Lepisosteus oculatus: one gene and its partners. The main gene of each other region encodes a partner of the protein of the gene in region 3 in a complex. Links are inferred from orthologs where the notes say so. Each region holds a gene or a part of one and is shown on either strand. Other genes may lie near its edges. The genes, in order: gpkow, sf3a2, sf3b2 and plrg1.

The links.
Region 1: sf3b2 (region 3) and gpkow share a complex: the UniProt entries of both Homo sapiens proteins name them as parts of the minor spliceosome. The link is inferred for Lepisosteus oculatus from reciprocal best matches to the Homo sapiens genes SF3B2 and GPKOW.
Region 2: sf3b2 (region 3) and sf3a2 share a complex: the UniProt entries of both Homo sapiens proteins name them as parts of the 17S U2 SnRNP complex. The link is inferred for Lepisosteus oculatus from reciprocal best matches to the Homo sapiens genes SF3B2 and SF3A2.
Region 4: sf3b2 (region 3) and plrg1 share a complex: the UniProt entries of both Homo sapiens proteins name them as parts of the minor spliceosome. The link is inferred for Lepisosteus oculatus from reciprocal best matches to the Homo sapiens genes SF3B2 and PLRG1.

Annotation. Positions count from the first base shown.
Region 1 is NC_090697.1:75,065,413-75,072,843, reverse strand, and holds the start of gpkow (G-patch domain and KOW motifs-containing protein), read right to left. Parts: upstream 3,005-7,431; 5' UTR 2,214-3,004; coding exon 2,011-2,213; intron 1,761-2,010; coding exon 1,597-1,760; intron 257-1,596; coding exon 117-256; intron 1-116. UniProt on the Homo sapiens protein: RNA-binding protein involved in pre-mRNA splicing. As a component of the minor spliceosome, involved in the splicing of U12-type introns in pre-mRNAs.
Region 2 is NC_090724.1:8,582,227-8,589,235, reverse strand, and holds the start of sf3a2 (splicing factor 3A subunit 2), read right to left. Parts: upstream 3,006-7,009; 5' UTR 2,916-3,005; intron 2,481-2,915; exon of another isoform or gene 2,403-2,480; intron 1,642-2,402; 5' UTR 1,498-1,641; intron 844-1,497; 5' UTR 779-843; coding exon 581-778; intron 496-580; coding exon 449-495; intron 1-448. Other genes in the region: plekhj1 (pleckstrin homology domain-containing family J member 1), read left to right, coding at 3,251-3,344, 4,671-4,738, 4,831-4,897, 5,339-5,429, 5,545-5,608, 5,871-5,954. UniProt on the Homo sapiens protein: Component of the 17S U2 SnRNP complex of the spliceosome, a large ribonucleoprotein complex that removes introns from transcribed pre-mRNAs.
Region 3 is NC_090713.1:22,562,844-22,569,747, reverse strand, and holds the start of sf3b2 (splicing factor 3B subunit 2), read right to left. Parts: upstream 3,003-6,904; 5' UTR 2,832-3,002; coding exon 2,702-2,831; intron 1,823-2,701; coding exon 1,776-1,822; intron 262-1,775; coding exon 190-261; intron 97-189; coding exon 1-96. Other genes in the region: collagen alpha-1(I) chain-like, read right to left, coding at 3,478-3,593, 3,688-3,725, 4,488-4,583, 4,843-5,086, 5,935-6,104, 6,676-6,904. UniProt on the Homo sapiens protein: Component of the 17S U2 SnRNP complex of the spliceosome, a large ribonucleoprotein complex that removes introns from transcribed pre-mRNAs.
Region 4 is NC_090696.1:24,676,258-24,683,792, forward strand, and holds the start of plrg1 (pleiotropic regulator 1), read left to right. Parts: upstream 1-4,526; 5' UTR 4,527-4,642; coding exon 4,643-4,651; intron 4,652-6,099; coding exon 6,100-6,206; intron 6,207-7,188; coding exon 7,189-7,328; intron 7,329-7,508; coding exon 7,509-7,535. UniProt on the Homo sapiens protein: Involved in pre-mRNA splicing as component of the spliceosome. Component of the PRP19-CDC5L complex that forms an integral part of the spliceosome and is required for activating pre-mRNA splicing.

The DNA of each region.
Region 1 (7,431 bases), on a different chromosome or scaffold from region 3:
ATTTGTGGGAAACTCAGAGAATGACAGTCCCCAGGAATGACAATATTTTTAATGGTTATCAAATGCTGAGTTAGTTGGTTCTGCTCTGTGAAGCAGGGGCTGGGGCGGCGACTCACAGACTCGGGCCGCAGGTCCACTTGGATCTTGTCTCCGTCCTCGTAGCCCTCGGGAGCCTTGTTCTGCATCAGCAGCGGGATGGACAGGTTCAGGTCAGCCGCTCCGCCATTTTTCCACAACTCCTGCTGCCGCTGGGACTCTGAGGAGAGAGAGAGACAATAAGACGGGGTGGAAATAAGACAATAAGACTCTCCCACTGGACAGGAGCCTCGTTCGTTTCAGGACCGGGGAGGTGCAGGCCAGGCTGGCTGGTGTTGGTTTACATAGCAGAGCCTGGAGCTCGTAAAACTCAGATTAGCAACTCAGACCAACGTCAGTGCAGTGGAAATCTTTCCATTCCTACACTAACTGCAAAATGGTGTAACTCTGGAGAGACCCAGGCAGCTACAGGATTAAAGTGCTTTTATAAATCACCATAAAAAAAAAACATTTTAGTAAAAGATTCCAATAACAGCCTGGATGCGTCATTTTATTTAAAGAAGAGCACATCCCTTCACAAACATGGTGTCCGTGAGACAGTGACACATAATGCTTTTCCATTCAACAGGAGTAATTAAAGAAACTAAAACAATGGTTGTAAGAAACCTCTTTGAATCTCTTCTAAACAGGTTTCTGTTAATGCTACCAGATGCACGCATTTATATATTAACAGACTATTAAAATTAGGCTGACAGTTTACCATGCATTTTAAGTTCCCAGCAATGCCCCTTGGAAAGAAAGCACTTTAATGATAACATCAAATGAGGAGTTCTAGCAGCGGTCAGGGAAGAAGAAGATCAGGGTGTAACAGGAGAACTGGGAGGAGAATAACCCGAAGAACAGCAGGGGACAGAAACAAGATTGGTGCTCAGCTGACGGAGCAACTTCAGTCTTCGAACAAGCAGTGGGTTCTTGTGCACTGGCTGGTTACTGGTGGAGTGAATTGTACCAACTTACTACACTGAGAGGTTAAAGGAAGTGCAGTTTTTCTTGTAGTCTTGAACAGAGACTACCAGGGGACCCTATTAAAGTATTCAAAATCTTCAAAGGCATTGACAGAGTCAACCCAGTGGACTTCAACAGGATGAACACCGAAACACAAACTAGAGCATTCACCCATCAATCCATTTTCCAACTGTTTCGTCCGATTCAAGTCCGGGGGAGGTGGGTATCATCCCAGGAAGCAACAGGCGCACGGTGGGTTACACCCTGGACGGCATGCCAGTCCATGGCAGGGCACAAAAACACTGCCGTACACACACACCCACACCAGGACCAATTTTCCCAGAAAACTGGACTCCAAAAACTGGAGCATCCAGAGGAAGCCCACATGAACGTGGAAGAACGTGCAAACTCCACACAGACAGCCTGCAGGAATTAACCCAGGACCCCGGAACTGCTACCGTGCCGCCCAGCTGTGTTTACGCGCGCAACAGCCTTGAAGCTGGTGAAACCCGAAACGGTCCAGTGGGCTACGCCGGGAGAGCCTGATGCACGTACCCTCAATCAGCTCCTTGACGGCCTGCGACTCCACAGCATCCTCCTCCCTGGGCGGCTGCGGACAGGTCTCGCTGGCCGTCCTGCTGGCCCCTTCGCCCTTGTACCACCGGTTCTTGTGGATCAGCGGGATGACCAGCTCCTTGGGCTTCTCCGCTGGTCTGGTGCTGGACGCAGAAGCGCAGACGACACGCCCGAACCCAAGCGCACCGAGATGCAGAGTCAAAAGCAGGCAGGAAAAGACACCAGAACACCCCGAATCAAGTCAACACAAGAGAGGCAAGACATACAACCAGAAAGAAACAAAAAGCGAAATTACTACACTTCAACACTACAATAAATTTTGCACCCCGAGGTTAAGTTTTGAAAGTCTTTGAGACCCCGGTACCCTATGTAGAGCGCTACTCTCGGCCATACCTCTTTAACTCCTTTCCTTCTACACCGGTCAGGTAGTCTTTCTCCTCCACTTTTTCGGCGGAGCTCTGAACTCTGAACTTGCTGACGGTTTTGCTGAAGCCAAAAGACACGGGGCCGGCGGCGGCCTCCCTTTTTTTGCTCCCATTTCCGACTTCCCCGTGTTTCTCGCCGGCATCACTTCGTAGTTTGTCGGGGTCCGCCATTTCTTCCTCCTCGGGTCCCGAGCCGCGACAAGCCGGCAGCCAGCTCGCGGGTGCCCCTGGCGAATGTAGTCCTTTTCATCCTGCTCAGGCGTGCACGGTAATGAACGTTATCGACACCAGGGACTACAACTCCTACAATGCAGCCTTAGTTTTTCGGGTCACGCAAGGTCACAGCAGACTATCACTATGGAGACTAACCAGGTTGTTGGATTTTTCTTAGCGCTGACTATTTCCAGTCTACTGGAAACAGAATCGTTTCAGTTTAAAACGATTACAGTTACAGTCATTATATATTTTTGTCATATATTGTATTTAGAAAATAAACGCACAGCTCCATAGTCATGTTGCCTTTTTGAAGCACAGTTTTTTTTTATCTGTCGCTTAACGCATCTGCTTATAGAATAACAAGCGAAATACCCGAAATAATTCAACTATGCCCACATTATTATATTTTGAAGGTTTGATTTAATGAATTAAAAGAGAAAACAGGCCCCAATTTGCCAGAGTACGAAAAAATATTCACTAAGGCATGCGGCGGAAATTAGTAGGTATACAAATGAGGATAATATTTTTATTATCGCTTTATGTAGGTCAGGTCAAGAACACGTACTGGCGTCGTTTGTCTTGAATGTATGAATTTATTCTTCGTTACAAGCGCGTTTGACCTTCAGTTCCCCCCCTCGCATTCATTGTGTCGGTTTTATCGCTGTTCTGTACTGTAAAAAATAAAAGTTTTGGGTTTTTTTTGTGTGTGTGTGTTCATTTAAAAGCCGAGCTCCTTGGTTCCCTCTCCCGCTGCCCACCGTTATCACTGGACGGGGATTAATTGGACGTGTTTGGAGGCAAGAGATTTTAAAGCGAAGCGGTGCGGTTGTAGATCTGTACACACACACACAGAGCCAGCACACATACAGTACACCAGCCTCGTCCAATCCCTTGCCCGTACAGGCGGGTCTCCGTTTTTTCCTCTTCTTCTGTTTCTCTCATTATCGCCGCCGCTGTTTATTGTAGACTGTAATGAAATGTAATGCAATTTCTGACCTGTGTCCTATCGCCCGTCTCAGGCATGGCGACCTGCCGCAGGAGCAGGAGAGTGAACACCTTTCTCTCAAAACAGTAGCACCGCCGCCCGTGTCTAATCCGAGCATGATCATTATGATACAAAAACGGCGCTAAGGAGCATCACAGCCGCATGTGAATGTGAATATTTAAGTAATATCTGGAGAAGTACGGAACCGAGACGAGGGAATAGGTTGTGAAGGCGCAGGAACGATGAAGGTAAGGTTTTTTTTTTTGTTAAAGATATTTTTTGATTTCTTCTTACCGACATTATTTGTTGTCATTTTCTCATAGCGGGGTGACGATAAAGATGTTTTGTTTTTGTTTTTTATACGGGGACGGGGACCGATTTGTTAAACGAATTATGTCAAACGGACGCGTTTGTTTCGACCGCCCCCCCCCCCCAAATTCAGTCACGCGTCTCGCGCTCCGCCGTTGGGAAAAGAGCGGGTCGTCGGCTGTCCGCGACTTCCAAGTGTGAAATTAATATTATATAGTAATAATCCACTGTTATATACACGGCCTGTGTTTTTTTTTAAATAAATCAACACACACAAACAGAGGGAGAGAGGGACGGGGGGTTAAAAATAATCCATTTAGTCTCATCCCCGATAGGGACCCGCTGCGTTACTGATCGGGGTCAACCGCTCGGGTCAGGTCGATGTACAGTAGAATATTAATATATGGACGTGTTATTTATTTATTTGGATAAACTGCCTTTCGTTTGGGCGCCCAAACCGCTTATACAAGCCTGTCCGACGTGTGAGACGGGCCAGGACAGTTGCCGAGGCGGAGTGGGTTTTTTTAACGCAAGTGTTTGATTTTGTCGGCTTGCCGTATACAACATACACGATGTGGTCGTGCATTTCACACGCCTGTGTCGTAAGGATGAGTAAATTTCCTACACGGATCTGTCATGTATACGTCTACGAGGATGTCTTGCTAATAACGTAATGCGGTGTGTCCGCTGGAGTGTGTGAAATAGTCAGTTTGGAAGAATAATACCGTGTTCAGTTTCATTTTTTTTTTTCACGAACGCAGCGATTATGTTTTTTTTTCGCAATCTGGTGTGTGTGGCGTCTGATCTGTGTGAGGTTGTGAGGAGATTCGTCGTATCTCAAATTCTCTGATAAAAAATAAAAACATCCCAAGTCATTAGCATTCGGCGTTTTTTTTTCTACCCTCTACTGTCAAGACGATTGGTGTATTTCTGTGTGTCAAATCTCACTGCTTCCCTTAACTGAGGACCCGGGCTCGTTACCAATGCCGCGTTGAAAAAAAACAACAACAACACAATTTAGCCGTAATAAACCGTGGAAAAGGACGGGGTAGCTACACTGTAATTAACTCCGCAGATTTCCCGGCTCATTTACTAGTAAGGAGACAGACCAGCACTAGGGTTTGTCACATTAACGAAAAGGGGAGTGTAGCTCTGTACACATCTGTCAGTAAAACGGTATTTATCGGGGTACACCAAGGTGTGGTACCTCCTATACTGCGATATGTTTTTAATTTACCGTCCGTGGTGACCGGATAATGCTTTTGTTTCCGCCGGGCCACCCTGAAAGCTATTTAAACGAGCCACAGCTGAGCCCGTTTGCCTGACAGTACAGGGAGACAGTGTTGCATCTGCGATTACCGATTACCCAGAGCCATACCGTGTTTTATGAGGTGGTTTTACAACACGGTGGATGTTGAATCATTAACTGCCACGGACAGAAACCTGCGTAAATGAAGAGCGATCCTCTAGTCTGAAAAACTGAAAGTGACGTTTATTAAGCATTGAAAATGATCTTTTTCGAGGTGCTCATGGGGTAGGCTCAGCGTGTTTCTAGCTCAGTGGGTTGCCTAGTAGGATTTCCAAGAGAAAGCAGGTCGTTCTTCCAGACAAGTGATGGGTCGATCAGAGGTGTTCCCGGTGTTTTCCTGACAGGGATCTAAACTTATGTGGAGATTGGAACCCATGTGTCCCCCTTTATACAGGTTGACTCATGACCGCCCGACATGGTGGTGTTCTTCCTGATGGGGAAAAAAAAAAACTGGACTGGCTGCTAGCCTTTCTTTTTGACTGTCCCCAGCTCAGCCCCGCTGCCTCCCACAGATCCCTAATGAGGCTGTGTGTGATGAGGACAGACAGCGGTCGCCTGATCCCAGACCCATGGCCTGCTCGCTGTGCCCATTGGGTAGCGTCTCCTGGACGTGTGTGTGGTGCAGTGCACCCACATTGGTTTGACTCGGATCTCTGGGGGACTCTGCTATTGCTGGTTTAAGGGGGGCAGGCGCTTGACGTTTGTCTTTTTTGAGCTCTTGTCACTTCCATCAGGATCATCGGAGACCGCCCAGAGTCCTCCCCTTCATTAAACACGCTGCCCTGATACCGAGACAGTACCACTGATACACAGCACCAGCCTCAACGAGGAGCTGACACAGACACAGGGCTGCCTGGGGCACCTTGGGCTTGTGCAGGTTTGGCAGGATCTCGTGCAGATGTCTGATGCTGTATTTGTACCACTGAGGTGCGGAAGTGATTTATGAAAAGCTGGTTAAATTGTCCTGTTTTGGGGGACTCTGCAGTGTTCTTATTGGTTCTGCACTGGCAGTAGCACTAGAAACAGTACTAGAGTATTTCATTGTATTTCTTTAAAATAATTTTAATTCGGTGGCGCAGGGGTCAGCTTTGCTGCATTGTAGCACTCGGGCCCTGAGTCCAATTTCAGACCTGGGGTGCTGTCTGTGTGGAGTCTGCATGTTCTCCCCGTGTTTGTGTGGGTTTCCTCCCACAGTCCAAACACATGCTGGTTGGCTGATGGGTGCTGGTAAGAGTGCGTGTGTGTCTATGTCTGTCTGCCCTGTGATGGACTGGCGTCCCGTCCAGGGTGTACCCTGCCTTGTGCCCCAGCTCCCCTGCGACCCTGAATTAATAGACGTGGTCAGAAAATAGACGGATCTGATTTTAATTCAGCCGGGCCTCATTGCATTAGCCAGACCGGACCGGAAATCAAAACCAATTCATTTATTTTTTAATTTCATACATATACTTGTGTAAAATCATCATCATCATCAGAGGAACTTTTTTTTCCCCTCTGTGTTTATATGTGTCTGTTTTTATTTTTATATACAGTATATACTGTATATTTTTCAAAAAAAGGTTTTTGTTGAGCGCGAGATTCGCCTCTTCGGGCTGGTCAGCTCTCAGAGCTCGTGGCAGACCCGTGTTGTCAGGGGTGCTGCTGGAGACAAGACTCTGAGAAAGTTTTTATCCTCCAGATGGCTTCACAGCGATCCGATTGTCTCAGCGGGATGTCACACTGGTGCCACTCGCTGTGCCTTTCACACCAAAGAGGACACTGGCTCGAAACATTGGCTGTGCTGCTTTAAAACTCCGTTAAGAAGATAGTCGCTTCTGTGTCCAGGCTTGTACAGTGTTGCACTATAATAATAATAATAATAATAATAATAATAATAATAAGACGAAGAAGAAGAAGAAGAAGAAGAAAAAGCGTGGATCTGGAAGGTGGGCAGTGTTTGACACAGAATCAACCTGAAGGTGGGGATGGGATCGGGGGATATCGAGTGTAGACCGGGACTCTGCACTGTTCGGGTCACCTTGCTGTCCCGTCCTGTCTGTGTCAGCACAGCCCCGGATACGGCACGCTCAGATTACAGCCTGGCTCCACTGAGTCTCTCCTGCGAAGTGGGAAGAGGGGGCCCTGCCTGACTCCTCATCATCCATTACAGGACTGGTTTCCAGTCCAGTCCAGGACGATCCCCTGCAGACTGGAGATCACAGGGGGTACCAGTCCAGGATGAGCCCCTGCAGACTGGAGGTCACAGGGGGTACCAGTCCAGGATGAGCCCCTGCAGACTGGAGGTCACAGGGGGTACAAGTCCAGGATGATCCCCTGCAGACTGGAGGTCACAGGGGGTACCAGTCCAGAATGAGCTCCTGCAGACTGGAGGTCACAGGGGGTACCAGTCCAGGATGAATCCCTGCAGTCCAGAGGTTACAGACTGAACCCCGAATCTTGAATGAGCCTTAGCCGTTTGCAAAGTGACCAGCCTACTTGAACCTGGAAAGATCTGGCCATCAAACATTGAATTTGAACCACCAGTGATGATGGAGTGATTGGATGGTCGTACCGCTCTCTCACTAGAAGGT
Region 2 (7,009 bases), on a different chromosome or scaffold from region 3:
GTCACCCACAAGTAGATACAGGCAGGGCCAGAGAGACAGGGTCACCCACAGGCAGGGCCAGAGAGACAGGGTCACCCACAGGCAGGGCCAGAGAGACAGGGTCACCCACAGGCAGAGAGACAGGGTCACCCACAGGCAGGGCCAGAGAGACAGGGTGACCCACAGCAGATACAGGCAGGGCCAGAGAGACATGATCACTCAGACAAAAAGGCAGAGACAGAGAGACGCACAGGCAAGTAAACAGACAGTGAGCCAAGCCGACACTCACACTAACACAGGTCAGAGAGACAGACAGGTCAGAGCAGGGTCTGCAGGACACAGGCACGCAGACGTACAGACGCAGGCAGACAGCAGCCGAGACGGGTCAGAGTGAAAGAGACGGGCTGAAGGAGACGGACGCTTTGACAGCTCCACACACACACAACCAAAGAACATGAGCTCCACTCACAGGTTGGTCTGATGCTTCTTCCCTTGCGTGTGCGCCAGGTAGCTACCCTGAAAAACAAAGCACAGCGAGGCAGCGGCGTTAACCCCAGGCCGGGACAGCGGGGGGCGCTGTGCTCGCAGGTCGCCCGCTCACCTCGTTGTTGTGCAGCGTCAGGCACAGTTTGCACTCGTAGGAGCCCAGGTGGTTCTTCATGAAGTAGGGGTCCTTGTTGATGTCGATGGTCTCCAGGGCCAGCTGCCGCAGGCGCTCGCGCCGGTCCCGGTTGCTCTCCGACGCCGAGGCGACCCCCCCGCTCCCCGTCTTCCCCCCCGGCCGGTGCTGGAAATCCATCCTGGCGGGCGCGCGGGCTCAGGGACACGCTCTCTCTCGCTCGGCCGCGGGTAAAACACCGGGCCCTGGGGGGGTGGGGTGGGGGGAGACACTGGTCAGACTCTCACTGCTCCACCAGTCCAGCACCACCAACAACAACAACAACAACAACAACCCACCACACAGATGGGACCCCGCGGCGCCCCACTCAGGAAAAATAATAATCACTCATTGCACTTCTATAGCGCTTTTCTGGACACTCCACTCAAAGCGCTTTACAGGTCATGGGGATCCCCTCCACCACCACCAGTGTGTACCCCCACCTGGGTGATGCGCCAGTCCGCTCCCCACACACCAGCTCTCAGTGGGGAGGAGAGCAGAGTGATGAAGCCAGTTCAGAGAGGGGGATTATCAGGAGGCCATGATGGGTAAAGGCCAGGGGGGAATTTAGCCGGGACACTGGGGTAACATTTTTCTTTTTGAAAAATGTGATGGGATTTTTAATGACCACAGTCGGAACCTCGGTTTTACTTCTCATCTGAGGGATGCATTAGGGCCTACTTGTCCCACTAACACCTCTTCCAGCAGCAGCCTCAGCTTTCCCAGGAGTCTCCCCTCCAGGTACTGGCCAGGCTCACACCTGCTGGGCTCCAGTGGGGCTGCCAGCTGGGAGCCGCAGGGTGATATGGCTGCTGAAAAAAAAAAAGACACCTCCTGAAAAACGGACAAGGTGAACTCACAATAAACACGGCTGTGGGAAAACTTTCCCCACAACAGGGACCTCCGGCAGAGCTGGGGGCAGTTCCTCTGCTCGCTTTCCACAGCTCTCCACTGGCCACTGGCGCAGGACTGGAGGACGACAGACGATGACTTGACGATCGGGCCTATAAATACATTGAATTAAAGTTTAATCCACATTTACAGCAGCGTTTTAATCCGCGGTTAACGTTCAGGGCTCTGAACTTCAAAACAGAGGATCGTTGGAACCAGAGAACCAGCAGATGCTTATCTTATCACTAAGAAACTTCATAAGCTTCAGAAACCCGCGATTTAATGGTGAACTATCGGGGGTTTGAGAAGGAGCTGCACAGCCCCGCCAGAACACCAACAAGTAGTGATTAACGAGTAATTAATGGATAACGCAACTTAATACATCTGTAACGTACCGTAATTAATTAAAAACCGTGGACAAACAGTTTAAAGTCGATGCCTTTCTCACACTTAATCTAAAACATTACACGCAGACGTTTCGGTCACTGAATAATTTTTAAACCGGAAAGGTCACAAATAGTTACGTGAAGATCGAAGGGCGCTAATATTGATTACAGAGAGGATTTGTTAATATCTTATTTGTTAAAATGAAGTAATTTTATAATTCCTAAAACAAAGGTTACATTGTAAGAACACTCCCTTATTAGATAATTACAAATCTCACAGTGAAATGTTATTTTTAAAAAGTAACAACGAGGTGTCCCGAATCTAGAAACAAATTTATCTTAAAAGCTACCAAACTTAGCAAACCTTAAATAGCATGTACAAGCACCCAAACTATTCACATACATTTACAGTTGTAAAAATGTATTAATTTCATTTTTAAAACAAGTATTGTAGACATTATAAGTAACATTTCGAACGACTACCTTACCAACAACACACGCTTGTAACTTCCGGTCAAACAGTACATGCGCAGGGAAACCAAACTTTATTAACAATCTCTTCGCTGTGACATGACCAGTAATTCAAAATAACTCTTCATTTAATTTTGTTAATGCGGCATATTCGGACAATTTTTCAAATACAAAACCTGTCATTTCAGAAACTGTCCAGTTGTGTATGTTTTAAAAATAATTGCACCAAAAACGTGTTCAAGATCACATTTGTCACATGACATTTAAAATTGACTACATGTCCCAGAAATCCTGCCACGCAAACACGACCGTAGAAAGCGTTTGGCAATCTGGGATTTGTAGTTTTTTCTTAATGCGAATTAAGGACGGAGTGAATACAATAGCAATTGGTTTACACATTTATTAAGAATAAAAAAAGAGAAAAATAAGACTACGGCAGCCACTACGAAAAATTAGCCACGAGTGGACGAGACTATTAAGACGTAGTCTGTATTTTACTATGGCTGGTATTTAACGCGGAAAACCCTCACCGCTGACCACCGTTTCCGGGTGCGGAGCGCAGCTGTGTCGCAGGGGAGGGTCCGGTCCGGCGGTGGAAAACCGTGACCCCGGGGTCTGTCTGCCTGTGAGGCCGCTAGACTCGCAGGGCGGAGCGGTGGGCAGGTGTGAGAAGCTGCGGAGAGAAACGCGCAAGACCCCGTCGCCTGGTAACGCGAGTCCGGCTGTCCCGAGTGGGACAGGGATCGCCGAGATCCGGGTGGGTGTGTGCGTGCGTGTGGCAGCCGGAGCGGACGGCGGTCGCCGGTTTCCCGGGGCGATGCCAGGCCGGCGGTAGCGGCGCGGCGGCGGAGGAGGAGGAGGAGGAATGCGGTTTAACGAGAGGGAGCTGGTGTCGCTCAGCCGCCAGCCCTCCGAGAGGGCGGCCCAGCTGGGCATGCGAGGACCCAAGAGAGGCGACGGTACGGACGGGCACACGGGGCTCTCCCTCCCCTCCCTTCTCCCTGCCGCTCCACGCGTGTCTTTTCCGTGTCCACTTCCCTGTCTGTCTTCGTCTCCCTGCCCTGCTGTCGCCTGTCCTTATCCGTTAGGTCGCAGCTGTACTCATGAAACGGTGTTTGCTTATAACTGGGACTCGGCGCTCTGTCTCTTTCTGTCCTCTAACTGGACCGGTTTCACCTAACCGGACATGAGGCTCATTTCTACTAACCGGTGTGCTTCTTGTCTTCGCATTTGTTTTCCCAGCTAGACTGTTTAGTCTCTTTGTTTTATCTTACAAAAAAAAAAATCCAGGCTAAAACCGTAACCTTGCCGAGGGAAGGGTATGAAGATGGAAGGAATTACGATGTGTAAAATGTTTCCAGGAGGTCTGCAGCTCGGAGATGCTTTCTCAGAGTCTGCGGCCCCCCGAGATACACACCATTGTTTTCTCTTTCTGGCACAGAAAGGGAGCTATTTTTTAAGGAAGCGCCCGTCTGCTGTCTTATCGCAGTTATTTATAGCCGCTGCCCCCCCGTCTGGCCCTGTGGGAGAGGAACAGAAAAAGTGAGGGAGAAGAACAGAGACGGAGACGTGCTTTCTGCTGCCCTGATCAGACAGACAAACATCCTTCCCCACAGTGACTAATCTCAGCCCAGCATTCCCACACCTACCAGACCCAGAACAGCTCCCGATCCTGCTGGGGAGCCAATGCAATCGAGCTGCAGCCTGGTGTGTGTGTGTGTGACACACAGCGAGCCTGTGTCATATGTGAAATGGCCAAGCTGTTGTGTTAATTGTCATGTTTGGTGGCACTGTAACCCATCGGTTGTGCTAGTGAAGCTCGCTGGAATGGTGGACCAGCAGAAGGACAGGCCAGAGAGAGAGAGAAGGAGGAGGAGGAGGTCACAGTTGCCAGGGGAAACCGGTCTGGTCCAGTCCGCCTGGCTCCAGCCCGCGGGTCACATCTTGAGACATGGCCATGGACACCTAACTTGGCGATACTGGCGTTGGGCGACGCCCCTTGGTCACCTGTAAGAGCTAAGACCTTAGCCGGAGCCCAGCAAGCATCTTGCAGTAGAGGGACATTGCGCTGGTTCTGATCGGGATTCTCGGGTCCAGCCTGCTGGTTCTGGTTCTTGTTGCTCACGAGGTCGGGGCCCTGCTGGAGCCGGTCTCCTCCGATGAGCCGCGCGCTGTGGGGTCTGTGGGACGAGCTGTACCGTGCGAGTGCGGGGAGTGCTGCTCGGAGCAATGGCTGATCTCTCTCTCTCTCCCCCACCCCCCCCCCCCCCGTCTGTGTCCCACAGTCATGAAGAAGAGGCTGGTAAAGCTGGTGGTGAATTTCCTGTTCTACTTCCGCACAGATGAGGAAGAGGTAAGGGTGGGGGCGCAGGGGCGGGGGCACCCGGGGGAGACGGTGAGGGCTCGGTGTGACGGCTCTGTGTCCGACTGTCCATCTCTCTCCAGCCTCTGGGAGCCCTGCTGCTGGAACAGTGCCGGGTGGAGAGAGAAGACAGCCAGGCCTTCTCCATCAGTGAGTCTCGTGGGCGTTTGGGGCTCTGGGCCCGGATCCCATTCCAGTCCGGTCTGGTCCAATACACCCAGTTCATTCCAGTCTGGTCCAACACACACCAGTTTACTCTGGTCTTGTTCAATAGAACCCGGTCTATTCCAGTCTGCTCTGGTCCAGAACAACCCAGTCCATTCCAGTCTGGTCCAACACATTCCAGTCTGTTCTAGTCTGGCCCAATACCACCTAGTCTATTCCATTCCAGTCTGGTCCAGTACAACCCACTCCATTCCAGTCCAGGGCTCTGTGTACACTCTAGTGGAGTTGAGGGTTAAGTCCAGATCAAGACTGGTAAGACCTGTGCAGACCTGTAGTCCAGTCCAGTCCAGTCCAGTCCAGTCCAGTCCAGTCCAGTGCCTGGGCATTGTCTTCCTGATTGGGACCATTCCTCTCCGGTGTCCGCAGCCTTCCTGGACGAGTCGGAGCGGAAGTACCTGTTTGAGTGTGACTCTCAGGAGCAGTGCCAGGATTGGATGGACTCCATTATCCGAGCCAGGTCTGTCTGTCGATCCGTCCCGTTTGTCCCAGTGGGAGCTGTGGTGGGTTCTGAGAGTGTTCAGACTTCTTGGCGCATGTCTGTGTGATGTTTCCCTGTGTGGCGTCTCCCACAGCTATGAGTCCATGAGGAAGAGCCTGATCTTCTACCGCACCGAGATTCAGAGAATCACAGGGAAGGTGAGATACATCTGCTCAGTGCAGTGTTGATGTACTGGAGTGTCCAGTCAGTGTGTCTGTATTAACCCCTCTCTCTCAGTGCAGTGTTAATGTACTGGAGTGTCCAGTCAGTGTGTCTGTATTAACCCCTCTCTCTCAGTGCAGTGTTAATGTACTGGAGTGTCCAGTCAGTGTGTCTGTATTAGCCCCCCTCTCTCTCAGTGCAGTGTTAATGTACTCGAGTGTCCTGTCAGTCAGTCATTAAGCTCTATGTCTCTCCCAGGATCCCCTGGAGCAGTATGGGATATCGGATGAGGCTCGTTTCCAGGTTAACAGCTCCCTGAAAGCCAGCGACAAGGCGACCTAACAGCGGGGACACCACACCCCACCTCCCCTACAGCCACACGGGGCTGTTCTTCACACCTGCTACCCCACTGTAACCACACACCCGAGAGCACAGTTACCACGTCCACCCCACCGAGAGAGAACTGACCTTTCCAATCGTCTGCACTGTGAAGACCGCTTTCACAGGATCTTTCTGAGAGACCTGGGTCACGAAAGCAAAAATTGGATCAAATGTGCATGCTAAACATTTGTCTGAATTGAAGTTGAAGTTGGCAATTGGGTCTTGATCCTGAAAGCCTTGTTATATAATCTTCTAGTGCTTCTGCACTGGACTTGATGTATAAGATCACAACCTGTGTGCATGTTTTCTAAAATGTGATGCTCATTTCTGAGGTGTCTGGAATGAGGCTTCTGTACTCTGCCAGTGTTTTGTGGAGAGAGCAGTGGATTTCTAGGCTCTTACATGAGGCCTATGTCACTGTGATAGTTTGATATCTTTGCTTGAGGGGGGCCCTCTCTAAATAGTTTCAGTGTTTGGAGACAACCTGACGTTTTTAAGTCGGGTAACTACTTCCCTCTGAAAAAAAAACAAAACGCTTGTTTAAGTAGAGTTTGATTGCACCCAGATTTGCAGTTGTGTACATAAGTGCATACAAAGTCTATTTTTTTAAGCAAATTCTGTAGACATTTATTTTCTTTAGCATTTTCTTTCCAGGTACCTTTAAAATCTAAAAGGCTGTATTGATAAAGTGTCAGTATTTCTGTGCACATGTAACTCCTCTGGATGCAGCTGTTAATGTGTGTGGGTTTAGCGTGTTAGTTTTGTGTGAACTACGTTGTGTCCTGTTTCTAGAAAGGAGGAGGGAACTCCTTGGTTCTGAAATTCTGTTGTCATGCAAGATTTAGTTTTTAAATTGCCAATTTCTGGATGCAGCCATTCTTAACTGCTGTTTTGTTTAGTTTTTTGACCACTTATAAAAATAATTTAAGAACTCGGAGTGAAACCATGAAGGTTCTGGTTACAGTCTTTTAGGACCAGAGCTGGTTACACCTGCGTGACTTAAAGAAAATTAACTT
Region 3 (6,904 bases):
CGGGGGCACCCCCATCATCCCCAGGGCCGGGAACATCCCCGGGGGAGGGGGAGGGGGCAGGGGGAGAGGCATGGGGGGCATGGGCAGGCCGGGCATCTGTGGGGGGGGGGCAGAAAGGGCAACATTATTATCGGGGAGTCGCTTAAAAATTCCCTGCTTGGGTCCCTCCCGCACCCTGGGCACACTCACCTGGGCCGGCAGGGGGGCCACCACATCTCCGTCACCGGCCTGCAGCGTGGGCTTGGTCAGCATCATCCCCGTCTGGAACGGCAGACACAACGTCAGGGGGAGGGGCTGCAGCAGAGCCTGGCGCTGCTGGAGCAGGACTGTCAGACCTGGGCACTGCCAGCCCATCTGGACCCAGAACAGCAGAGCCTGGCACTGCTGGAGCAGGACTGTCAGACCTGGGCACTGCCAGCCCATCTAGACCCAGAACAGCAGAGCCTGGCACTGCTGGAGCAGGACTGTCAGACCTGGGCACTAACAGTCAATCTGGACAAGACCAGAGTCATGGTTTTTCACAAGAAAGCCAGGCCTCAGGGAAACAAGAACCACTTCTCACTCAACAACAACACACTGAAGCACACATCCAGCTACACACACCTCGGTCTGACTATCAGCTCTTCCGGGAGTTTTGACCTGGCAGTGAAGGCACTGAGGGAGAAGGCACTCAGGGCTTTCTACGCAATAAGAAGGAGGCTCTTCAACACCAACCCACCAACAAGAATCTGGCTCCAAATATTTCAAAGTGTAATCCAACCCACTGCCCTATACAGCAGTGAAGTGTGGGGTCCCCTCACAGACCAGGAGTACACTCAATGGGACAAACACCCCACAAAAACTCTGCACATGGAGATCTGTAGAAACCTAACAACGGGTGCAGGGCCGAATTAAGACAGTACCCACTATTGATAAACATACAGTAAAGAGTATTAAAGTATTGACTACACCTAAAAAACACCAATCAAAACTCCTACCACCACAAACCCCGGCTGAGCCAAGAGCTGAGCCCAAAACAGAGCCCCCTGAGCCAGCTGGTCCTGAGGCTCCCTGACCCAAGCCACACCGACAGAGGTGCACTTCCTACTGCACTGTGACAGATACTCCGGGATTAGAGAAACATTCTTCCAGAAATTTACAAATCTAATCCCAGAGTTCCTACACCTACCAGAATCACAATAGCTTCCAATCCTACTGGGAGAGGGAGGAGGGAACTCAGTTGAACTGGTAGCCCAGTATGTGATCTCCTGTCCCAGCCTGAGGAACAGTGAGCCTGTCTCTCAATAATAATAATAATAATAATAATAATAATAATAATAATACTACAGTGTGTGATCTCCTGTCCCAGCCTGAGGAACAGACAGTGAGCCTGTCTCTCAATAATAATAATAATACAGTGTGTGATCTGTCCCAGCCTGAGGAACAGACAGTGAGCCTGTCTCTCAATAATAATAATAATACAGTGTGTGATCTCCTGTCCCAGCCCGAGGAACAGACAGTGAGCCTGTCTCTCAATAATAATACAGTGTGTGACCTCCTGTCCCAGCCTGAGGAACAGTTAGCCTGTCTTCCAGTAATGCTCCAGATGTTTGCATGTAACTATTTAGATGGGTCTGTATTGTGAAATTCCTGAAAACATCCATAGATTTTATGTTAATTGTATTTGCTTTGGCAGCACGGATGTATTCATTGGTCATGCCAACAAAGCATCTTGAATTGAACTGAGAGAGAGAGACAGGTCACTGTATCAATCACTTCTGACAGAACATACTCACCTGCATCGCATAGGCCTTCAGTCTGTCAATCATCTCCTCTCTGGGGCCTGAGGACAGAGACAACATCAGTCCAGACTTCAGAACTGTCACTGAGCAAAGACCCAGCCACAGCACAAGATAACCACAAGTACCCCCAATTCCGCCAGGCTGACTGAGAGAGTGTACTGGTTCTGTCTAAGTAACAAATCCTAAATTCTGATAGAGTATGTAATGCACTGAGACCTGGGTTTCTACTGGCTCTGGGGCTGAGCCGGGTAACTGCAGGGCTGAGGTCTGGGGTTCACCTGAGCCGGGAAACTGCAGGACTGAGGTCTGGGGTTCACCTGAGCCGGGAAACTGCAGGACTGAGGTCTGGGGTTCACCTGAGCTGGGAAACTGCAGGACTGAGGTCTGGGGTTCACCTGAGCTGGGAAACTGCAGGGCTGAGGTCTGGGGTTCACCTGAGCTGGGAAACTGCAGGGCTGAGGTCTGGGGTTCACCTGAGCTGGGAAACTGCAGGGCCGAGGTCTGGGGTTCACTTGGCTCTGCAGCTGAGCTGGGAAACTGCAGGACTCGTAAAATATATATAAATAGCTACAGAGATGATCAACGGATGGTCTGTTAAGCCTCCGGTGTTTAAAGCAACTAACGAAAGCAATTTCTTTAAAAGCAATCTTATATCACAGCCCCCTTTCATGAACTAAAGGCTCACCGGGAGACTCCGCGGCGCCAAACCTGAATGAAATGAGGTGTTTCTGGCGGTTCTGTACAAGATACAGGGTACGCCACAGAAATGAACCGAGCAACCTGAACGCCGGGTTCCCCAGACGCCCGCCCACCGCCACTGGGGCCGGCCTGCTCGGGTGGACTGACCACTCGAGCCCGAGGCTTCGGCGCAAGGCCTCGGCCTTTTCCCTCCCTCCACGGAGCCCGCGCTTTACACTTACCCATTGTGGGGGCGCCAATCTCAGCTAGCTTGGCTTGAAGCTCCTGGACGCTCCATGTGTTCAGGGCAGCAACGGAGCTGCCGAGGTCCGGCGGAGCTTGCTCGGTGCCGGGCGGTACATCAGTCGCCATGGCTGGATCACAGAAACAACAAGCGAGGCAGGAACGGAAACCAAACGAGCGCTCTCAGAGGATCATGGGAACTGCGACCGGAAACGGCGGTCCTGCGGCTTTGTGGGATTTGTAGTTCTAGCAGGCGGCCACAAAACCGAGTCACTTTCCGAACAGATCAAATGCAGTTCTTCTACCTACATGAAAGCGACCCCCCAAAAAAACCTAGAGATTTGTAATACTGATAAATATGTTATAATCTTTTAGCACACGGACACACTGATGAAGAATGGGACTGTCACAAGCATCTTTTAACACCCGGCGACACGCTGTCGCACACACGCTGACACACATACACGCACACTGACACATAGACATGCTGACGCGCACACAGCACGGCCTCACACACTGACACACAGCATCAATGCACAGAAACACCCAACCGCAGTTCTATACATCCATCTTGCTGATTAACTAACGAAGGATCTGACTGAAGCAGTTTTTGTGGACAGATGTTTATTCTGAACAGCTTGACCCTTCCTCATTCCAGAGCCCCCGCAGGGTCTGTCTGGTCCGGTCCTGTCCTGGACCATCTGCTCCTGGCGGCCTCCCCAGGACCAGGACCGACCCGTTTCGGGGTGCTGCGGCAGTGTTCTCCACCTCTCTCTCAGTCGAAAAAATCGTCAAACTCGTCGGGCACTTCCGGGGGCGCGGAGCCGGGCTTCGGGGTACCGGGAGCCTCGGTTCCCGGATCGCTGCTGTCCGCGGAGCCCCTCCGGAGCGCTGCAGGAGACGGACACACGGTCACTGACCAGCCAGGGCGGACAGCTAGGGCTCATTCGGGGGGAAGAGCAAGCTACCACTGAGCAGAACTGACCTTTGCCCTGGGCAGTGAGAGTGCCGCTGTGATTCACCCTGAAAGTGCAAGAGAAAGAAACATCCCTTAGAGATCATTCTACTGACTGACTTCAGGAACTTCACTGTGGTCCTCTGTACAGCGCAGTAGAGCCCAGTGAGACCAGGGTAAAAGCACAGTACAGCGCAGTAGAGCCCAGTGAGATCAGGGTAAAAGCACAGTACAGCGCAGTAGAGCCCAGTGAGACCAGGGTAAAAGCACAGTACAGCGCAGTAGAGCCCAGTGAGATCAGGGTAAAAGCACAGTACAGCGCAGTAGAGCCCAGTGAGACCAGGGTAAAAGCACAGTACAGCGCAGTAGAGCCCAGTGAGATCAGGGTAAAAGCACAGTACAGCGCAGTGGAGCCCAGTGAGATCAGGGTAAAAGCACTGTACAGCGCAGTGGAGCCCAGTGAGATCAGGGTAAAAACGCAGTACAGCGCAGTAGAGCCCGGTGAGATAGGGGTAAAAACACAGTACAGCGCAGTAGAGCCCAGTGAGATCAGGGTAAAACATGGTACATGTGGATGGTGGTGAACAGGTGTTCACTTGCCTCTCATTCCCTGGTGCTGGTGGGACCTGGCAGCTCCCCGTTACTGTGAGCTACAGCACCCCCATCTGTGAGAGAGACACAAGACACCTGTCTCCCCAAAACCAGGGCTGGCGGGGCCCCCCTCCCCAGACTGCAGACACCTCTTGAAATGGCCCGTGGCCTTTCAGACGGATTCGATCGGGAGAGGGCGTTCCTGTGCGGTCAGACCCCCAGCCCCAGCGCACGCGCACCTGTCCGGCGTGCCCCCGGGGCGCTCCTCTGCGGCAGGGACAGGCGGCGGGCACCCCTCCTTCCTCCCGGAGCGGCTCTCCTCCTCTTCCTCGGCTCTGCCAGGAGAAAGCCCCTGTCAGTGACTCTGAGCTGCCTCGATGAGCTCATTCGCCCGGATACTGAGGCGGGCGCTGGCGGGAACGATCAGGGAGGGGGGGGGGCATACAGACTCCACACAGAAGGATCTCTGGAACTGAATTCTGCACGTAAATCCTCATTCTAACATCGCTTTTAACACACACTTGACACACCAGTGCCAGTGGAAGCGAGAGGCTGGTGGACGTGGAGGTGGACTGTCGCTGGAAGGACACTCACGTCTGACCAGAAGACGTTTTGGGATCTTCCTGCGGAGCCAGGAGAGCTTCGATCTCATCGCTGTCATCTTCATCATCATCATCATCATCATCATCATTGTCGTCGTCGTCGTCGTCGTCGTCCCCTTTGCTCTTGATGTCGTTGGAGGCGCCCCCACCCACCTCCTCCTCCTCCTCCTCCTCTTCCTCCTCCTCCTCGGAGCTCCCCTGCTGACCCGCGATGCCCTCGGAGTTGACCACAGACCCTGGGTCGGGTGACAAACAGAGCAACCAGCTCAGTGCAAGGACGCTATTTTGCTAAGGAGAGACCTAGCAGGACGGCCCAGCCCGCCCTCTCCCCCTCCTCCTGTGTCTTGTGTTGAAGACGATGCCCGGGCTTCTTACAGGAAGCAGAGATCCTGGGATCACAACAGGAGTGACTACGTTACACACAGTGCTACCCAGCCATGTCGTCGAAGAAACAGCTGGACAAGATCCAAAGGGTTTCTCATTGGTGGTGAATATTCTTGTTTTTTTTTAAATCAGGGGTCTCCAGCCCTGGTCCTGGGGAGCCCCAGCCCAGTGTGTCCTACAGGTCCCCCTGAATCAGGGGTCTCCAGCCCTATTCCTGGGGAGCCCCAGCCCAGTGTGTCCTACAGGTCCCCCTGAATCAGGGGTCTCCAGCCCTGTTCCTGGGGAGCCCCAGCCCAGTGTGTCCTACAGGTCCCCCTGTTTCTAGAGTTTGGACACGCCTGTCAGCTCCTGATGGCCAAGCCAGTGGTTTATTCCATTAAGAGAACCGCAGTCCTTGAGGACTGAAGAGGACGTAGGTCCTCAGTCCTCAATAATCCCTAAATTGGTTAATTTGACCAATCAGGGGTTTAATTGTTCACCGCGAGGTCGATCTTTAAAAACAGGTGGCATTAAAGGTTGTTTTAGATTGTTAACATTTTCAGTGCACCTGCACCCTCACACTTCCAGACGGCATCGGTAGATCATGTCATCAATCATCAATCTTCGGTCATCAATCATCAATCATCAGTCATCAATCAATCAAGTCATCAATCTCATCAATCGCATCAATCTCATCAATCCGTGGCCGTGAGGGACCCACCCGTCAGGCCGCCGGCGTCCGCGCCCGTCTCCCGGCGGCCCTCGCTGCTCTCTGGCGCCGCCCTGCTGTGGTGGAGAAGAGCCCAGGTGAGCTGTGGATCCGGCCGGGGGCAGGAGCTCTCTGCCCCTGGCCCAGCAGGATCTTCCCAGGTCATATCCCTGCTGCTTGACCTGCACGCCTCTCAGGAAAAACACAACATCGACCCACCGAAAGGTCAACAGCTGGACACGGGCAGGGGATCGCGAAACCCGGATGCCCCACAGTACAGGGGCCGTGGCTCAGGGTCTTAATTGTGTAATTGATTTATGAATGAGGGCGGCCCTGGGTTCGATTCTGGAGCTGTGTTGAGCTTGCATGTTCTCTCTGGGCTTCAGTGGGTTTCCTCCAGGTGCTCCAGTTTCCTGCCACAGTCTACAGACATGCTGGGAGGTGAATTGGCTTCTTTTGGGAAACTGGCCCTTTTGTGTGTGTGTGTGTGCGTGCCCTGTGATGGACTGGCCCTGGTGGGTGTGTGTGCGTGTGTGGAAAGCGATTGGTAAACGGATGGTTGGATTAATCAATTCACCAACAACACCAGGGAGCCGACTCCTGGGAAAACCTGGCACGGAGTGGACTGGGAGCGGAGGAGGCACTGGGCCACTGGCGGTGCTGAACCAGATGGGGGCGCTAGCTGCCTCTGACAGATAGTAGGGAGGAAAGTGGGAAATGGGCAACCCGGGGTGGTCCGGGCCGAGCTCGCACCTGACGCCCAGCGGGGAGCTGACGATTCCGTCTTCGGAGTCTGTCCCCTCGCTGTCTCGCTCCTCTTCCTCCTCCTCTTCCTCTCCGTCGCTCTCCGGATCTTCCTGCTCGTCTGGCGCCCCTGTGTCCGTGCGGCCCCCCTCCTGGCGGTCCGGGGTCTCTGCTTCACTCGGGCTGCCGTTGGACCCCTCCTCTGCGGACGCCCCCTCTCGCTCGCTGGTGACGCCCC
Region 4 (7,535 bases), on a different chromosome or scaffold from region 3:
GTAAATGAAAAGGTTGAAAGTAAGACATTTGAGTATTACATTGTACCCAAACATTTTTTTAAGTACAGCAAAGGATTTAAATGGTTAATGTTGGTTTCATGAAGCAACAAAGGATAAAGAATGTACTTTGCTTGACCAAACATTGCCTAAAACAACCAGCCCTGAGGTATGCAAGCACATCACAACCTGATGTCAAGGATGAACACATGAAAGTTAAACAACACTGCATTCTGTTTGTTTAAGTTTGGTATAATTCTGAAATACCTTCTCTGGCAACAGTTAGCTTTTTGCCTTTATCAAAAGATACTTAGCATTTTAACACAATAAAGCAGTAATTTATTTCTTTAACAAATGGATAATGATGCCAAATCTGTGTGTCTGTAAAAGTCTTTTTGTAGTATGCCAACTATCTTATAAGCCAATAATTACTTGATGCCTTATCTAATGACTTTCAAACAATGCAGATGGGATGGAGAGTATTTACTGTACCTACTGTAAATACAGTAATGACAGCCTATACTTCCTTCATTGTTAGAGTTTTACATACAGTATATTCAATACAAACAATGCATTTTATGACAGGTTGGCACTGTGCATCACAAAAAGAATCAACATAGATCTGATGTATCTACCAGTTCTAATATAATTGCACTTGAATTTCATTTTCATATATATGTACTTCAACATTTTTAAGAATAATGTATATAGGCTAATTGTATCTTGAAAAAAAATGTACATTTTAAACCTTTGGTGGCTTTACTCATTAGATGGAATGACAGCACCATTTCCTGTTTTGTTATGCAGTATATACAATAAACATATAATATTTTTATACTGTTTTTCTTCACGTCATATCAGCAGGAAAACATGGGCCTTCTATGACAGCTACGTAGGTACTTGATGTTCAATTCTTTCATTTTGTTTACTTAATATTTCAGAAATATTGTGCAAGCATACATCCAGTCGGTTAATCACAGTGGACTTATTTGTCTGCCAAACTCCCACACAGAATCTAAACATTTAAATCATGCTGTTTTTATGATTACTATTTTGAAATAAAAATGTAATGAGCACATGGCTTTTAGTACTCAGTATCATAGGAATTTAGTTAGATAGTGAAATTAACTAAATGAAACTAAATGAAAATGAAAAACAACGGTAATTGAGAAATATTTGTCCACCTACTATAGGCTTAATTATCGCATTAACAGAAAAGCAAATAGGTGCATTGATACCATGATTGTCAAGTTATTTGATCCTGTTCAGATCCTACACAGGAGAGCTTTCAGTCTATTTATTTTTTATATATAAAACCCAGACTCTAAACAACAAAATAATAACAAAATGATATCTCATAGCTACCACACACCAAAGTGACTGCATGTACAGTATGGATCTTTTTTCTAATCATAAAAAATGACTTGCATTTTTATAACACTTCTCATTCCAGATTATCTCAGCATTACATTTAGGACATTGCAAGTTGAATTTTTTAAAATTTCAGCAATCAATTATCTTACTGTTATTTTACTATTTCTATAGTGCCATTTCATATTAAGCACTACAGTATATGAGAGCCTTTTAAAAAGTTACATTACAATGTGACTCATTGTATGCTTAAAATACAAGGATAAAATACAATTTTTATTAAAGTTAATCAGCTAAATGAACAAGCTAATGTATTCCAACTTCAGCCAAATGTTTCTAGGACAAAAAGAGGTGACAGATTTAAACAACATTAAATTTAAGAACTGAGAATGGCATTAAAAAAAGAAGGGACAATTATAAGTGGAAGGCAGTCTAGAGAACAAAGGTCATCTTGGCTTGGATTACTGGAGCCTTTTCTTCAAGGGAAAGCAAAAACAACAGGTTTTTCCCAATGCAGATTTCAACAAAGAGAGGTCAGGCATCAATTTTATCATGAAAAGGGGAGAGTTTTGAAATTACATGTAGTCTTGGGTAGACACTGGACTCCTGTACATGAAAGGTGAGTCAAGAAACAAACATCTTTACTGAAACTTCTTCCCTGACAGGCATAAGTAAAAACAGACCTTTTTTGTTTAAAGTGACGATTTATATCGTCCCTCATGACTTGTTTTGTGTTATATTCTTTCAAACCTTCTGCTATCTTAAGTGTAGGTAGCCGTTCACTTTACAAACTATTCATCCTTTATGGAAATGGTTTTAAAACAACACATACAGTGTAGCTATTTCAGTCATTTTGCTTTGCATCACTGAATGCATTCTTCTGCAGTTTTGTCCCCTTCTTCTTGCCTACAACAGCACCCTCCTAGCTCATCTCAAGTCTACTACCACCTCCCAGTGGTCTTTCATCCAAGATGATGGCTTTCTTACAAAGCCATCTCTCACAACCTTTCAGTGTATTCAATAGAATCTTCACATAGTAGCACAAAACAGAAAGGCCCTTCTAGTACAATTATAGAAAAGCCTATGGCAATGGCTACATTTGATGCTGTATTTGTTCAAATGCTTCTGATGCTGAGTAGAGGCATCTTATATGGCAGCATGGACTCCCCTCCACCACTACCAATGTGCAGCATTCACCTGGATGATGCGACGGCAGCCATAGTGCGCCAGAACGCTCACCACACATCAGCTATCAGTGGGGAGGAGAGCAGAGTAATGAAGCCAATTCATCGAAGGGGATTATAAGGAGGCCATGATTGGTAAAGGCCAATGGGAAATTTGGCCAGGAATGCCGGGGTTACACCCCTACTGTTTTCGAGAAACGCCCTGGGATTTTTAATGACCACAGAGAGTCAGGACCTTGGTTTTACGTCTCATCCGAAGGACGGATGAGACGGATGAGACTCTATATGTAATACCTCACATATAGAGTCAGCCACTATCAGTACCTGCCTTTACTGAAGGAATGGGCTCCTGGATGTCCAGGGGCATAACATTTTCCTATGTGTCCTTTGTTTTCCTGCGGTCTGTCTCCAATAAGGCCTTGAAATGGCTGAACTCCAAAAGCTCTGAGGATGCCACCCCTATGGGGTGTGTCTGTCGTTTCCTCTGACTGCTGCCTCTCATCACCCAGTTATCTCCCTTTTTTATGTTTCAAGCCTGCCTACTCATGGCATGCACACAATCTCCCTGTAGGACACTTCAACTATTGCCTGCAAAACCTGTGTTGCATTGGGGATCAGAGAGCTGAGTTTCACTTCCTTCATACTGTATGTCTAGACAGTTGTTTCCATCAACTGTCTTGTTATCTCTACCACAATATTCTCTATACAGTCATAAATGTTATCATTATATTAGAGTGTACTCTTAAACATTGTAATACTATAGTAAAAACAATATAATCCATTGGCTAAAGGAAAAATTCACTGTTATTATTGCATGCTAGAGACTTTGCAGTAGCAATATAGGCACAAATTTATCAGCTACTGTATAATGGTCAACACATAAAATGAAGAGATTAGAGGGTGAGTTGTGTCAGTGTGAAAGCTGCAAAGGAACAAGCAAAGTCTATTTCCATAGTGAAAACTAAACATAAAGAATAAACACATTTTGGATGTTGATAATTTTTTATACTCTACTTGCCACATCTAAAAGCTCCACAGCCTTTTTTCATACTTACTGTAAATGCATGTATTTATTAATATGTGAGCTATGAAATGTATGATAAATGTGAAATCCCTACACAATGTTTTATCAATTCTCAAATCGTTACTATTATGCGTTGTTAAAAAAAAAACAGTAGAAACATATTTGTATGTTTACTTCAGTTGGTTTATTTTTAGTAAATAGTTTTAATTCTCCATTGTCCAAAACCTTGGTCTCCAATACTGTCCCGGAGAGCCCCAATTGAAAACATTTCAGTACCTATAAGGTATTTTCCAAAGGCTTGGAAAACATCTGTGAATAATTATTCAGGTGACTCGTTAAATTCTGTATTGTAGAGTCCACATGAAACAAAATTCTAAGTACTGTACATTCTAGACCTCAGCTAGGACCAGGGTTACTTTTATTGAATAAATTACTTTCTTGATTGACCAATCTGTTCACAAGCCTCAGAAAAGTGTGACTTACAGTGATCTACAGAATTTAGGGGACTGGACCAGGGTCTAAGATGCTTCTGCTAGAGCGTTTGGTGGTTCAGTGTAATTGTAAGCAATCGTAATTTCTTGTATTTTATAGCATTTATTGCCCATGTTTATAATGATGGATAATTTTTTAATTATTTTAATTATAACTATATATTTGGTATATTTTTAGAAGTTCTGTGGACATTTTTTGCTCTTAAAAACTACTGTATAACATCGGTATATACGTTATTGTAACAATGAAAATTGCACCACAAAATCAAATGTAGAATACATATTAATATTCAATTAATGGCAACATTTACTGTATGTATGTACTGTAACACTCTTAACGAATATATTTTTGGCCTCCGCTACAGTAGAAGTCGCTATAGTACCACTCAGTAGGAGTGTGTCGATCTCCTAACAGTCGAGATTTGATTATCCCCGGAAGCGGAAATGAACGCAGACTTTCCTTCCTCCTGTATTCATATTGTGTGCGCGCTGTTATTTGTTGGTGGTACGTTTTCGAATAGTTAAAAAAAATATATTTAAAAAAGTAATCGAGTGAAAAGGATTTGTCTTCAGCTATGGTGGAGGTAATTAATTGTTTATATTCTTTCTCGTTTTGTTCTATGTTTTGATTTTTCAAAAGGAAAATATGTTTGAACTTTGAAATGAAATGTATTGTATAGGCCAGTATAATGCATACGCTTCTTTCTTTTGTTTTAAAAGGTACGAATTAAAGGTTATATAAATTAGAGACTATAGATCAGTTGTTTTGTTGTAGAATCTTAAGTAATTAACATCTTCTGTAGTAGTTAAGATTTGATTATGGTTATGTTTTCCCCCCTCTGGTGTCTTACTATGGTGTTTTAGTTGTGTGTGATTGCTCGATAAATACGAAATAATTGGCTGAAGCGGAATCTGAAGGTCGTAAAACGGGTCTTAGTATGGATGTATGCGTCTGAATAGCGATACGTTTATTTAAGATTTTCAGTCAGTTTTCATTGATGTACTTATTTGTAAATATAAATCAGTATGTCAGTCTACTTGGGTAGAGAGAAGACTCTTAAGAACATAAAAGGTTACAACATTTTCTAGTTAGACGTTTACTTATCCACGTATATCATCCCGCGGTTTCTTGAAAGACTCCAAGGGTATCGGCTTCAGCAGCGGCGTTGAGTAGCTGGCTCTGTGTGCCCCTTGCCTCTTCTTCTGCATTTTAAACGCTTGTTTTTAATTGTACTAATTTTGTTACATCTTCTCCTTGTTAATTTTTTCTCTTATGGTAAAGCCCTTTGATAAGTTCCTTTTAAAGAAACTGTCTAAAATAAAGTTTATTATGATTGTTCCATACTCCCCCAACCCTCTTTGTAAAGAAGTGCCCCACTTTTTTTTCACTCACTTTCACGGAGTTTCCACCCGTGTCCTCTGGTGTTTCAATATTAATTTTGAAGAAATAATCTGGGTTGGTTTAGCAGTGACGTTTTCGGAAGAGGATTTTGAATGCTTGCATCTAGTATTTTATCAAATTAATTAGATGACAATTGGGGTGATATGTGATCCAGGCTTGACGTTTTGACCCACATGTGCAGCACATTGTAAAAACATTATTCTTCCACCTCAGAAATATTGCCACACTATGTCCTATGGTGTTGCTAACTCTTGCTGACAAGCTGGTCGTCACTTTCGTTTTCAAGTTGGTTAACCCAAATTGATTACTGTCTTGCCCTACTCGCCAGTGTCTAAATCCACATTGAAAAAATTATTATATGTTCAGAATTCAACAGTATCTGTTGTATGCTCTCATTTTATTTATTTTTTCTGTAAGGTGCTTTGTGAAGCCACAAAGTCACTATAAAATAAAGGCATTTAAAGGCACTACATAAAATAGTTTCTTGCTATTAACTAGTTAGTGTGGTTAAAACAATTCAATAGATTTTCAAGAACCTATATTCAGGCTGTGGTGTTTATTAATATACTGAATTGTAGCTGTTATTCCAGAAATGTTTTACAATCATGCCTGCCCTATAATATCTTCTAGGAGGTACAGAAGCACTCTGTGCACACACTGGTGTTCAGATCTCTCAAGCGCACTCATGATATGTTCGTGGCTGATCATGCGAAGCCCATTGATATGGATGAAGAAAGGTGAGGTTTTAAATGTATTAATAGATACTATTTGTAGTATTGCTACATCTTGAAAACTTATAAGATCTGTCAAATCCAACTTTACAGTTTTCACTTTCCAGTGGATTTCAGTGGTATTCTTGTTGTTTGTGGTGGCTGATATCCTAAGACTTGTTGAGCTTTGTCAGCATTGTAATGTGAAGAAAAACTACAGTAAATCCTTCAAAGCGTGTGACCCTCTACATCAGGACCACACCAGGGACTCCACTACACTAGTTTGATTTAACCAGCTCTTGGAATTGCTTTATTAATCATAATACTAATAATTTAGCGATGAAGTAATGATCTGGTGGTAGCACAGTTTGGTATTGGAGTGGAATGTAGAGCCTATAGGTTGTGTAGCCCTGCTCAAGATTGTAGGTATCTCATATCTTACATGAGGTGTGTTTAAAAATAAGATTGTATTACTTGTGTGCTGTGCTCTCTTAAATTTTTAGTAGTAAAGTAAAATCAGAAACTGGGAGCAGAAAATAATTATGCTTTAGGTACTGGTATAGCTGTTTTCATATCTGGAATTTTGAAGTTGTCCTTGTTTGAAGATCTTTAAGTAAGGAATAAGAATTATTATACATTATGCTTAGAAAAATATACAAGAATACTAAGCATGTAACTTGATACATAAAATGGTCTCATCCATAAAATGGATCTCCAGTCCATTTCATGTAGGGCTGGTGTGCTTGCAGGGTTTCCATGTCTCTTTAATGCTCCAGCACCTGAATAAAAGCTGGGAACATCTGTTAACATGTCCAGATAAGTCACAAATGATATGTTAAAGGTTAAAACGAAAAACTTGTGAACAAGATTGGGGACAGCTGTTTTTTTTTTACTTGAGTCCGCAACTGAGTGCAACTTTTTAATGGTGTTTTCAAGCCCATCTAATTCATTTTGTTATAAAGCTTTGTACTGAGTTGCTCACATTTCACCTAATGCTATCTTATGTCAGCCACAAGGTCAAGATGGCCGTCAAGTTGCGTACGGAGTACAGTGCTGTGCTGCACATGCCAGTTTTCAAAGAGGGCAAAGACAAGGGCTCCCTCCAGATCTCTGACCCCTATGGCCAACAGAACTTCTCTGCAAACCCTGGTAAGTGTCTCAGGTTACAGGCATTTCTTCAAAGGTTTTTATTTTGTTTTTGTGTTGTCTTGTTGTTCTTGTTTTGTTGAGTTAAGCCAGTTATATTGCAGAAACATTGAGAGAACAATGACCGGATATAAATAATAAGAAAAAAAGAATCTGAGCACCTTTTCATTTGACTTTTTTCAGGGCATGATCCAGAGTATCTTATTACTG